Macaca mulatta: one gene and its partners. The protein of the gene in region 3 purifies or fractionates together with the protein of the main gene of each other region. This does not show direct contact. Links are inferred from orthologs where the notes say so. Each region holds a gene or a part of one and is shown on either strand. Other genes may lie near its edges.

The links.
Region 1: the proteins of HDAC6 (region 3) and CCT5 purify together in Homo sapiens (affinity purification with mass spectrometry, with the first as the bait; 3 studies listed by BioGRID). This does not show direct contact. The link is inferred for Macaca mulatta from reciprocal best matches to the Homo sapiens genes HDAC6 and CCT5.
Region 2: the proteins of HDAC6 (region 3) and TUBB4B purify together in Homo sapiens (affinity purification with mass spectrometry, with the first as the bait; 4 studies listed by BioGRID). This does not show direct contact. The link is inferred for Macaca mulatta from reciprocal best matches to the Homo sapiens genes HDAC6 and TUBB4B.

The regions. Positions count from the first base shown.
Region 1 is NC_133411.1:11,400,281-11,403,930, forward strand, and holds part of CCT5 (T-complex protein 1 subunit epsilon), read left to right. Parts: intron 1-992; coding exon 993-1,053; intron 1,054-1,514; coding exon 1,515-1,679; intron 1,680-2,802; coding exon 2,803-3,001; intron 3,002-3,650. UniProt on the Homo sapiens protein: Component of the chaperonin-containing T-complex (TRiC), a molecular chaperone complex that assists the folding of actin, tubulin and other proteins upon ATP hydrolysis.
Region 2 is NC_133420.1:5,210,364-5,213,179, reverse strand, and holds the end of TUBB4B (tubulin beta-4B chain), read left to right. Parts: intron 1-157; coding exon 158-266; intron 267-347; coding exon 348-458; intron 459-930; exon of another isoform or gene 931-931; coding exon 932-1,992; 3' UTR 1,993-2,137; downstream 2,138-2,816. Other genes in the region: CIMIP2A (ciliary microtubule inner protein 2A), read right to left, coding at 2,138-2,226, 2,609-2,726. UniProt on the Homo sapiens protein: Tubulin is the major constituent of microtubules, a cylinder consisting of laterally associated linear protofilaments composed of alpha- and beta-tubulin heterodimers.
Region 3 is NC_133426.1:48,893,523-48,897,172, reverse strand, and holds part of HDAC6 (protein deacetylase HDAC6), read right to left. Parts: intron 3,222-3,650; coding exon 3,095-3,221; intron 2,986-3,094; coding exon 2,920-2,985; intron 2,826-2,919; coding exon 2,766-2,825; coding exon of another isoform or gene 2,757-2,765; intron 2,698-2,756; coding exon 2,608-2,697; intron 2,269-2,607; coding exon 2,162-2,268; intron 2,073-2,161; coding exon 2,005-2,072; coding exon of another isoform or gene 1,993-2,004; intron 1,765-1,992; coding exon 1,596-1,764; intron 1,508-1,595; coding exon 1,379-1,507; intron 1,184-1,378; coding exon 1,015-1,183; intron 317-1,014; coding exon 183-316; intron 1-182.

The DNA of each region.
Region 1 (3,650 bases), on a different chromosome or scaffold from region 3:
CCTGGCCAACATGGCAAAATCCTGTCTCTACTAAAAGTACAAAAAAAAAAAAAAAAAAGAGCCAGGTGTGATGGCGCATGCCTGTAATCCCAGCTACTGGGGGGCTGAGGCAGGAGCGTCGCTTAAGCCTGGGAGGCGGAGGTTGCAGTGAGCCAAGATCATGCCACGGCACTACAGCCTGGGCAACAGAGCAAGACTCCGTCTCAAAAAAAAAAAAAAAAAAAAGCCAGTCACTAACTTTGATCTATAAATATAATTATTGGGATTTCAGGTGGGTGGAGGAAGATTTTTAAAGCAAGAACATTTTTTCTTTTTATTTTGTAACGGGGTCTCATCATGTTTCCCAGGCTGATCTCAAACTCCTGGCCTCAAGCAATCCTGCCTCAGCCTCCCAAGTAGGTGGGGTTACAGGTTCTAGCCACCGCACCCAGCTCAAAAGATTATAACTCTGCAGTAAATCCAGTAAATCATGGTGTGACAATGAGGTGTTGTATGTTTACAGTTGGACTGTTTCTCATGAGTACAGGCCCCTTCTTATCTGCAGATGTGGAACCCACAGATATAGAAGCCTGGATGCAAGGGACTTGAGCATCTGTAAATTTTGGTGTCCTCAGGGGCTCCTGGAACCAGTTCCCCATGGATGCTCAGGGATGACTGTGTTTCACAGTGATCTTGCAAGGCCTGTAAGGTCATGGTCATACTGTCCCTGTTCTCAGCTGTAAATGAGCTGGCAAAAGAATCTGTCTCATTAATGTGTTGAAAATTCAGTGAGATAACACAAAGCACTGAGTTCTTTTTCTTTTATATAAGAATTGCTTATTAAAGCTGGAGTTATAAATGTTATAATACTTAGACCTGTCTGTTGCCCCTTAAATGTAGAAGCTTCTAGAAAACAGAAACTAAATCGTAAGTGATTTTTAATCATCAGATGTGTGCTTTTAACCATTGAAATTGTATGTAACAGTGTTTGCTTTTTCTGTTTGTTTCATTAGTCTCATATAATGGCAGCAAAGGCTGTAGCAAATACAATGAGAACGTCACTTGGACCAAATGGTAAGAGTCCACCATTCCATGTTTTTAGCAAAAGATTTAAATCATAAAACTGTCAATACAAACCTCTCTACAGAAAGGTGGAGTATTGAGGGCAGCATCTTACTTCTTTAACACAGCGAAAATTTTGTAGTGTATCTCAGGTTTCTCAAACATGGTTATAATCGCGTGTAGTTTTAGGTCGGGCCTTTTTTTTTTTAACACGTTTAATATCATTTCATTAGCATTTTCCAAATCATAGTTGTCTTGAGATTAATACCATACTTAATGATGCTCCATAATTTTTTGCCATTTGTGTTAGCCAATCTCAAAATGCCTTCACGCAGCTATTATTTTGTGTATGTTGAAATATTTGCATATAATAAATTGCATAGATAAGAGCTGGGTGCAGAGGTCTTTTTTTATAGTTTGTGATATTGGTTGCCAGTTGTTTGCCCAAAGCCTACTAAATGTTGTCTTTTTAGGGCTTGATAAGATGATGGTGGATAAGGATGGCGATGTGACTGTAACTAATGACGGGGCCACCATCTTAAGCATGATGGATGTTGATCATCAGATTGCCAAGCTGATGGTGGAACTGTCCAAGTCTCAGGATGATGAAATTGGAGATGGAACCACAGGAGTGGTTGGTAAGAAAAGACAAAACATCCTTCCTTTCTCATTTAAGAGATGTCATTTAAGACTACAGGGCTAACATGCCTGCCGAGATTGTTGTCTCTGAATCAGAGCCTGAGGAGACAGACAAATCCAAGTTGAAGAACACGCTACAAAACAAATGCCCGGGACCTTCAAAACTGACAGTGTTAAAAAAGAATAGAAAGAGGCCTGGGGATTGTTAGGCAAGGAGAAATCTGTAATGATTGATTGGGCGCTGATTTTGTTTGTCTTTTAAGCTCTAAAGGAGGTTTGGGAAAAGTAGAGGAATTTGATTATGGATCATGTACTACAATGCTGAGTTTCCTGAGCGTGACCGCTGTATTGCATATGTGTAGGAGAATACCCTTATTCTCGGCTGTTTGCCTCAATACTTAGGAGTAACATGTCATGGTTTCTGCAACTAATTCTCAAATAGCTGAACAGAAACAGTTTGTACATGTAGAGAAAATGTGGCAAAATGTTAATAAGTAAACTGGTACTCATTTTAGTATTGTACCTTGTTTTTTGTAGATTTGAAATCTTTAAAAAGTTGGGGAAATTGAAGACAAAATATCAGTAAAGTTCTTTTCTGCAGATGAAACTTGAATTCATTCATTCAGCAAATATTTACTGGATACCATTATATGCCAGGCACTGTTCTCAGTGCGCTTGGAGAGCAGTAGATTTAAACAGAATTCATCTATGTGACCCTAAAATGAGGAGAAAGGAGGATGGGGGTGGGGGGAATAAATAATAAACAAATGTTTTAGTCTTATCACCAGGATGAATTTCACTGAATAGACCTTGGCCCATGAAACATAATAGCTTTTTACCTCTTAGAAAAATGTTCTTTTTACATTATATTCTTTAGTTACATTGTTTACATCACTGAGGGTTGAATGTTCGTCTATAAGGGGACATGTGTCCTATTAGACCTTTGCTAGAACCAAAACAAGAGGCTTTCTTTTAAAAATAGATAGCTTCTGCCTCTAAGATGACTTCCAGCTTAATTCTGGAAGCTTTTTCTTTCCATGACAGCATCTAACTTGTGCTGATTATACTAAAAGTGAAGTTTTGTTGTTTTCCTAAACTGATTGTCTGCTGGTTTGTTTGCAGTCCTGGCTGGTGCCTTGTTAGAAGAAGCGGAGCAATTGCTAGACCGAGGCATTCACCCTATCAGAATAGCTGATGGCTATGAGCAGGCTGCCCGCGTTGCTATTGAACACCTGGACAAGATCAGTGATAGCGTCCTTGTTGACATAAAGGACACCGAACCCCTGATTCAGACAGCAAAAACCACGCTGGGCTCCAAAGTGTACGTTTTGGTAGACGATACGATCACACATTTGTAGAGGCAGCTTGTTTGCCGTCTCTTAAAGGCAGCACAAAATGACCACTGGTGGATTTGTGTTGATTTTATGATTTCTTTCAGTTACTTGGTTTTGCTTTGTTTTTATTGTAGATGTAGATACATGCATTTTGTATTGTAGTTGAGAACTGAGTTTCTAAGTTCATGCATAAATCCCCTTGACAATATTTGCAAAATGTAGTTATTTTAATTTAGTAGAATAGATTGTGTTAAAAATCAGTCAGGGCTGGGTGCAGTGGCTCCTACTTGTAATCTTAGCACTTTAGGAGGCCAAAGCAGTAGCCTGCTTGAGCTCAGGAATTCAAGACCAGCCAGGGCAATATAGTGGGACCCCATTGCTACAAAACATAAAAAACCAGCCAGGCATGATAGTGCACTCCAGAGGCTAAGGTGAGAGGTTGAGGCACAGCAAGCCATGATCATGCCACTGCACTTCAGTTTGAGCAACAGAGCGAGACCCTGTCTCCAAAAAAAACTAGAAAGGGTCCTACCTGGAGCGTATGTGAATTTTCTTTTTTTTTTTTTTTTTTGAGACGGAGTCTTGCTCTGTCGCCCAGGCTGGAGTGCAGTGGCGTGATCTCCACTCACTGCAAGC
Region 2 (2,816 bases), on a different chromosome or scaffold from region 3:
CCGAAGCCCCCAGGAACCCGGGGGCCAAGGCGCGCAGGGCGGGGGAGGGGCGGGGAGGGCCGGGCTGCCGCACCCGTCCGGGGCGGGGCTGCCTCCCTGCGCACCGGCCGCGGTGACTCAGCCCCGACCCGCCCGGGCCCGCCCGCGTCCCTTGTAGTTCTGGGAGGTGATCAGCGATGAGCACGGCATCGACCCCACGGGCACCTACCACGGGGACAGCGACCTGCAGCTGGAGCGCATCAACGTGTACTACAACGAGGCCACCGGTGAGGCCCCGGCCCTTTCCCCGACCGCCCTCCGGGGACCCCGCGGCCCCTGCCCTGGCTGATGCCCTCCCGTCCCCGCAGGCGGCAAGTACGTGCCCCGCGCCGTGCTCGTGGATCTGGAGCCCGGCACCATGGACTCCGTGCGCTCGGGGCCCTTCGGGCAGATCTTCCGGCCGGACAACTTCGTCTTCGGTGAGCTGCGGCTGGGGGCTGGGCGGCGGCTCAAAGGTCAAGGGGCTGCTCCAAGGGCACCTCCGTGGGAACTGCGCAGCCCGGGCCCCTGGACGCTCTTCTTTGAACCACTCAATCCCCTCTCCTAAATCGGCTTTGAGAGCAAGGTCCAGCTGTCTGCCGAGGCGAGGAGTCGCCACACACGTAATCTCCCTGCAGGGAGCTGAGCTGGGGGCAGTGGCTGTTGCTCTGTCCTTGGGAATTGGCAGTGGCCCCCCCCTCTCCGGGGAGGGGTTTGTTAAGCTCTCAGGTTTGGCTCTTGACTTAATCTGTAGCAGGGCAGGCTGCCGTCCTTTCACTTTGAGGGGTCTGTTTGGTCTACCTGCAGGGTGAATTCTGGGGTCAGCTCACACCATGTCACGAGGTCCTTTTCGCATGGTGGTGGTGACCAGTAGTGCTGTCTAGTTGGCTGATAAATGACTGTTTTCTCACAGGTCAGAGTGGTGCTGGGAACAACTGGGCCAAGGGGCACTACACAGAAGGCGCGGAGCTGGTGGACTCGGTGCTGGATGTTGTGAGGAAGGAGGCTGAGAGCTGTGACTGCCTGCAGGGATTCCAGCTGACCCACTCCCTGGGTGGGGGGACGGGGTCTGGGATGGGTACCCTCCTCATCAGCAAGATCCGGGAGGAGTACCCAGACAGGATCATGAACACGTTCAGTGTGGTGCCTTCGCCCAAGGTGTCAGACACAGTGGTGGAGCCCTACAACGCCACCCTCTCAGTCCACCAGCTCGTAGAAAACACAGACGAGACCTACTGCATTGATAACGAAGCTCTCTACGACATTTGCTTCAGAACCCTAAAGTTGACCACGCCCACCTATGGTGACCTGAACCACCTGGTGTCTGCTACCATGAGTGGGGTCACCACCTGCCTGCGCTTCCCGGGCCAGCTCAATGCTGACCTGCGGAAGCTGGCTGTGAACATGGTCCCATTCCCCCGCCTGCACTTCTTCATGCCCGGCTTTGCCCCGCTGACCAGCCGGGGCAGCCAGCAGTACCGGGCCCTGACCGTGCCCGAGCTCACCCAGCAGATGTTTGATGCCAAGAACATGATGGCTGCTTGTGACCCCCGCCATGGCCGCTACCTGACGGTTGCTGCCGTGTTCAGGGGCCGCATGTCCATGAAGGAGGTGGACGAGCAAATGCTTAATGTCCAAAACAAAAACAGCAGCTATTTTGTTGAGTGGATCCCCAACAATGTGAAAACAGCTGTCTGTGACATCCCGCCCCGGGGGCTAAAAATGTCCGCCACCTTCATCGGCAACAGCACGGCCATCCAGGAGCTGTTCAAGCGCATCTCCGAGCAGTTCACGGCCATGTTCCGGCGCAAGGCCTTCCTGCACTGGTACACGGGCGAGGGCATGGACGAGATGGAGTTCACCGAGGCTGAGAGCAACATGAACGACCTGGTGTCTGAGTACCAGCAGTACCAGGACGCCACGGCCGAGGAGGAGGGCGAGTTCGAGGAGGAGGCTGAGGAGGAGGTGGCCTAGAGCCTTCAGTCACCGGGGAAAGCAGAGAGGCAGTGCGAACTCTTTATTCCCTCCCAGCCTGTCCTGTGGCCTGTCCCGCTGTGTGTGCACTTCTGTTTTCCCTGTCCTCATCCCATGCTGTACAGACACCACCATTAAAGCATTTTCATAGTGTGCGGTTTCGCCTCGCCCATTCCTTCCAGTAGGCCCTCCGGGTGCTATTGCCGAATGTCAGTGCGTAGTTGTCCTGCATGGCTGCGGGGAGCCAGGCTGTAGGTGAGCTGGGCTTATGTACCCAGGGACCAGCATGGGCTGGACACCCAGGCTTCAGAGAAGTGTGCAGCTGCCCTGGGCCCTGGGGATCTGCTTGGTGGGGAACCTGCTTCTTGAAGGCAGGCCTGACCTGTTCTGGGTACCCAACCTTGGGGCCCATTGGCCTGTGTCTGGGACTTTAGCCCCCTTCCGAAAGGGGTAGGGAGGATGGCAGACAATCCTACCCCAACCAAGGTGGGACCCTGGTTGGTAACGGTGGTCAGACAGGTGGTCCTGAACCAGCAATGAAGGGTGGGCAGGTACAGCTGCCCCTCCCCACGTTGGCCAGGGTGTGTCCGTGTGACCCTTCCCGCCCTGTACTCACAGGGGATGAACCCCATGTAGAAGGGGATCAGGCCTTGGCTGCTGTAGATGTGGTTGCTGGGCCAGTGTGTTCCAGGCAGCTTCTCACCCAGGTCACAGTGGGGGTTTCTAAATAGGAACTGGGGAGACAGGCAGGTGCTGACAAGCTGCCACCCCAGCAGGCAACCAGAGAGTAAACTCTCCCAGTGGGGGCCTGGCCGGAGGGCCGG
Region 3 (3,650 bases):
CTAAATAGGCACTGAGAGGCTCCATCCTCAGTCCTTCTCTGGGTAAGGGCTGTACCCTTACTTCTTTCTGGGGAAGTCCTGGGGAGCTGGACCATGGGGCATGATGAGTAAGCAATGGGCTGGGGAGAGCATCCAGGTCCCCACAAGGATCAGGATTTGGGGGGTCCCCAGGGAGTCCTTACCGCAGGGCACGCCCACTGATAGCCTGGGCATGGCGAGCAGCCACAGCCACGGAGTTGAAAAAGCAAAAACCGCAAGCTGCATCCTGCTCTGCGTGGTGTCCTGGGGGACGCACCACAGCAGCACCATTCAGAACCTAGGAAGCAGCAGGGTGCTAAGATCGGACAGCCTGCCCTCCAGCTCACCCTCACCTTCCTTTCTTCCTTCTTCTTTTTTTTTTCTCGCTCTGTCGCCCAGGCTGGAGTGCAGTGGTGCTATCTAGGCTCACTGCAAGCTCCGCCTCCCATGTTTACGTCATTCTCCTGCCTCAGTCTCCTGAGTAGCTGGGACTACAGGCGCCCACCGCCACGCCCGGCTAATTTTTTGTGTGTTTTTTAGTAGAGACAGGGTTTCACCGTGTTACCCAGGATGGTCTCGATCTCCTGACCTCTTGATCCGCCCGCCTCGGCCTCCCAAAGTGCTGGGATTACAGGCATGAGCCACCGTGCCCAACCTTTTTTTTTTTTTTTTTTTTTTGACACAGAGTCTCACTCTGTTGCCCAGGCTAGAGTGCAGTGGCACAATCATGGCTCACTGCAGCCTTGACCTCCTGAGCTCACCTCAGCTTCTCAAAGCACTAGGATTACAGATGTGAGCCACCGCACTTGGCCACCCTTCCCTTTCTCCAGTTCCTTCCATTATTACTGCAGCCTCTAGGCCCGCCCCCTCCTGTGCCCCTCCCCATGGCCCCTTTCCTCAGGCCCTGCTTGACTCTCTCAGAGCCTCCAGAAACAGCAGGTGGCCCTCTTTTTCTATTCTCCCCAGGTCCTCCTCTCCCCAGCCCAGAGGACACACCTCTCCCGAGAGCACAGCCTCCACCAGGCGGCAGGCAGCGCCAGTGGCAAGCTGTGCACAGGCGAAGGTACTGGGGCAGATGTAGATGGAGTCAAAGTTGGAACTCTCACGGTGCAGCTCCCGGGTTTTCATTTTCTCTGTGGCCCGGAGATGACCCACATACTCAGCACTGGAGGTACAGAGAGGCGCACCGGCAGGACAGTGAGGAGGGTCCATCCCCTCCCTGGAACCCACCCGCAAGACAGGAACTTCAGCCCCTCTCAAGTCCTGCAGCAGCTCCCTGGGAGGGGAAACCCAAGCTCCAGCTCCTGAGACCTCATCCACAGTCCTGGGAAGCCACCCACCCCAGGCACCAGGGTCTGACCTGTGGCAGGTGAGCAGCTCAGCCTCTGTGGCGGGGCGCGGTGTCAGGGTGAGGCAGCGCCCAGCAAGGCCCAGCTCCTCCAGACGGCACATGATCCGCAAGATGCGCTGTGGTACCTCAGGGTGGTGGCTAGCAGTGGGGAAATGAGAGGTAGGGGCTTAGTGCCTGATGGGGAGGGACCCCCAACACCTACTCATCCAGCCCTCCAAATGCCTACCTGTCCCACAAGTTGCAGTGATTCATCATACTTTGGTCATAGACCAGCCCTGTGCGAGACTGTAGCACTGGCCACGTCAGGATTGGGAGCACAGGGGGCTCCCAGGGTCCTTCCTCCTCATTCTCCTCTACATTGTCCTCCTCCATGTTGTCCCCCTCCACAGTCTCAGCTACAAGGGGGAGGCCACGTTTGTCCTACCCTCTCACTCTGAATCCCCGTCATACTCTGGAACTCAGGTGACCCCAAATAGAAAATGGGGTGGGAGGCCTGAAACCAGGGCCCAGGGAGAGAGAGGGCCTGACCCTCTACCTCCAAGGCAGCCCAGTAAAGTCAGAGAAAGTCCGAAGACAGTCTGCCCCAGGGCTCATCCCACGTCCACCCCACACCAGGCCCATACCCCACTTCCTACTTGATCTCACAAGAACCTCCCAGAAGGGCTCAAGGGCTTCCAGAGCACAGGAGACTGAAGCCTGGGCACTGCAGGGCAGGGCAGGGAGAAAATATGAGGTCAAGGAATGTGGGCAGGCAGTGAGGCTCCCGCTTTCCCCTCCTCCACTGGGGCTCACCTCCGGCAGGGGGCACCAGGTGACTCCAGCATGGGGCAAGGGTCTCCCAGAAGGGTGTGGAGCGAAGCACTGACACCTTCAGCCAGGGCGCGGAGGTTGTAGCCACCCTGGGGCAAGGAGTTGTGAAGGGGGATCAGGAAAGGACCAGACATGACCAGGGAATAACAATAATGATGATAATAATAAGAGAGTGCATACCAAATGTCAAGCAACAAGGAACTTAGAAGGGGGCCTCATTGAATTCACTGGACAATGATATGAGGTGATTACCATTATTATGCTCGTTTTACAGAAGGAAAGCGGAGGCACAAAGAAGTGAAGTGACTTATGCAAGGTTGTCCAGCTAGTAAGTGAAATGCTGGGCCAGGAACTCCTTTTGGACTTGAAAGCTTCGTTCTTAAGCCCTCCAGGATCCACAGGCTGAGGGACGAAGGTGAGTCACTCACCTCCAGAGACAGTATCAGCTTGCCTCCTGCCAGACCCATGAGCAGGTGGGTTAGCTGGGCGAACCCTGCCGGAGTGGCGGCCATCTCACCCTGGGGGGACATGGAGGGTCAGTCTGGCTCCGTGCAGCCCATCTGCCGCCCCAGGGAGCCTGCCTTACCTTGGGGTCCCCTTGCAGGGCATCAAATCCAGCAGCCACCAGGACCAGCTGAGGCTGGAACTGAAGGAGGAACAGACTCCATGAGGCTACCTGCCCTCACGGCCTAACCTTCAAGGCCACTCCTCTCCCCCAACACACCCCAGACCCCCAGGACCTCGAGGGCGACTGGCAGCAGGACGTGCAAGAAAGCAGCAATGTAGTCAGCATCCCGCATCCCCACCTGCAGACACAGGAGTGTAGTGGGGGATGTTCAGCCACCTGTCCCGAGCTGCTGACAGAAGGGCAGGGCTGGGCCTCACTTTGGGGACAAAGGGTGGGTGGATGCTGACCTGGTTCCAAGGCACATTGATGGTATATCCTTGGCCTTGGCCGAAACCTGTGGTGGACCAGTTAGAGGCCTTCAGGTGGGGCCAGAACCTACCCTGCTCATAGCGGTGGATGGAGAAATAGAGGACACTGGGGGCAGAAGAAAAAGAGGTAAGAGAGTTGGAGAAGAGTCAATCCCCATAGACACTCCCAACCCAACAGTTGCCAGTTTCCTCTACCACTCATTTCCCCATTCAACCACTCGTTCATTCTCTCATTCATTAATTTCCCCATTAATTATTTAATCTATGAATCCATTCTTCCATTAATTTATCCTTACATTCAGTCACCAATTTAATTATCTTACCATTCATCCATTCTTATCTTTATTTATCCATTACCTCACTCACTCATTCATTTAGTCTCTCACTAGAACCTCTTCCTCAGCAAACATCACTGCCCCCTCAGTGCCCACCCAATTTCAGGCTCAGCTCTAGGGTCTATCCCAGATCATGGGGGCTCCTGACTCTGTGGGGTATTCTAGATCATGTCTGCCCACTACCTGCCCCTATGACAAAG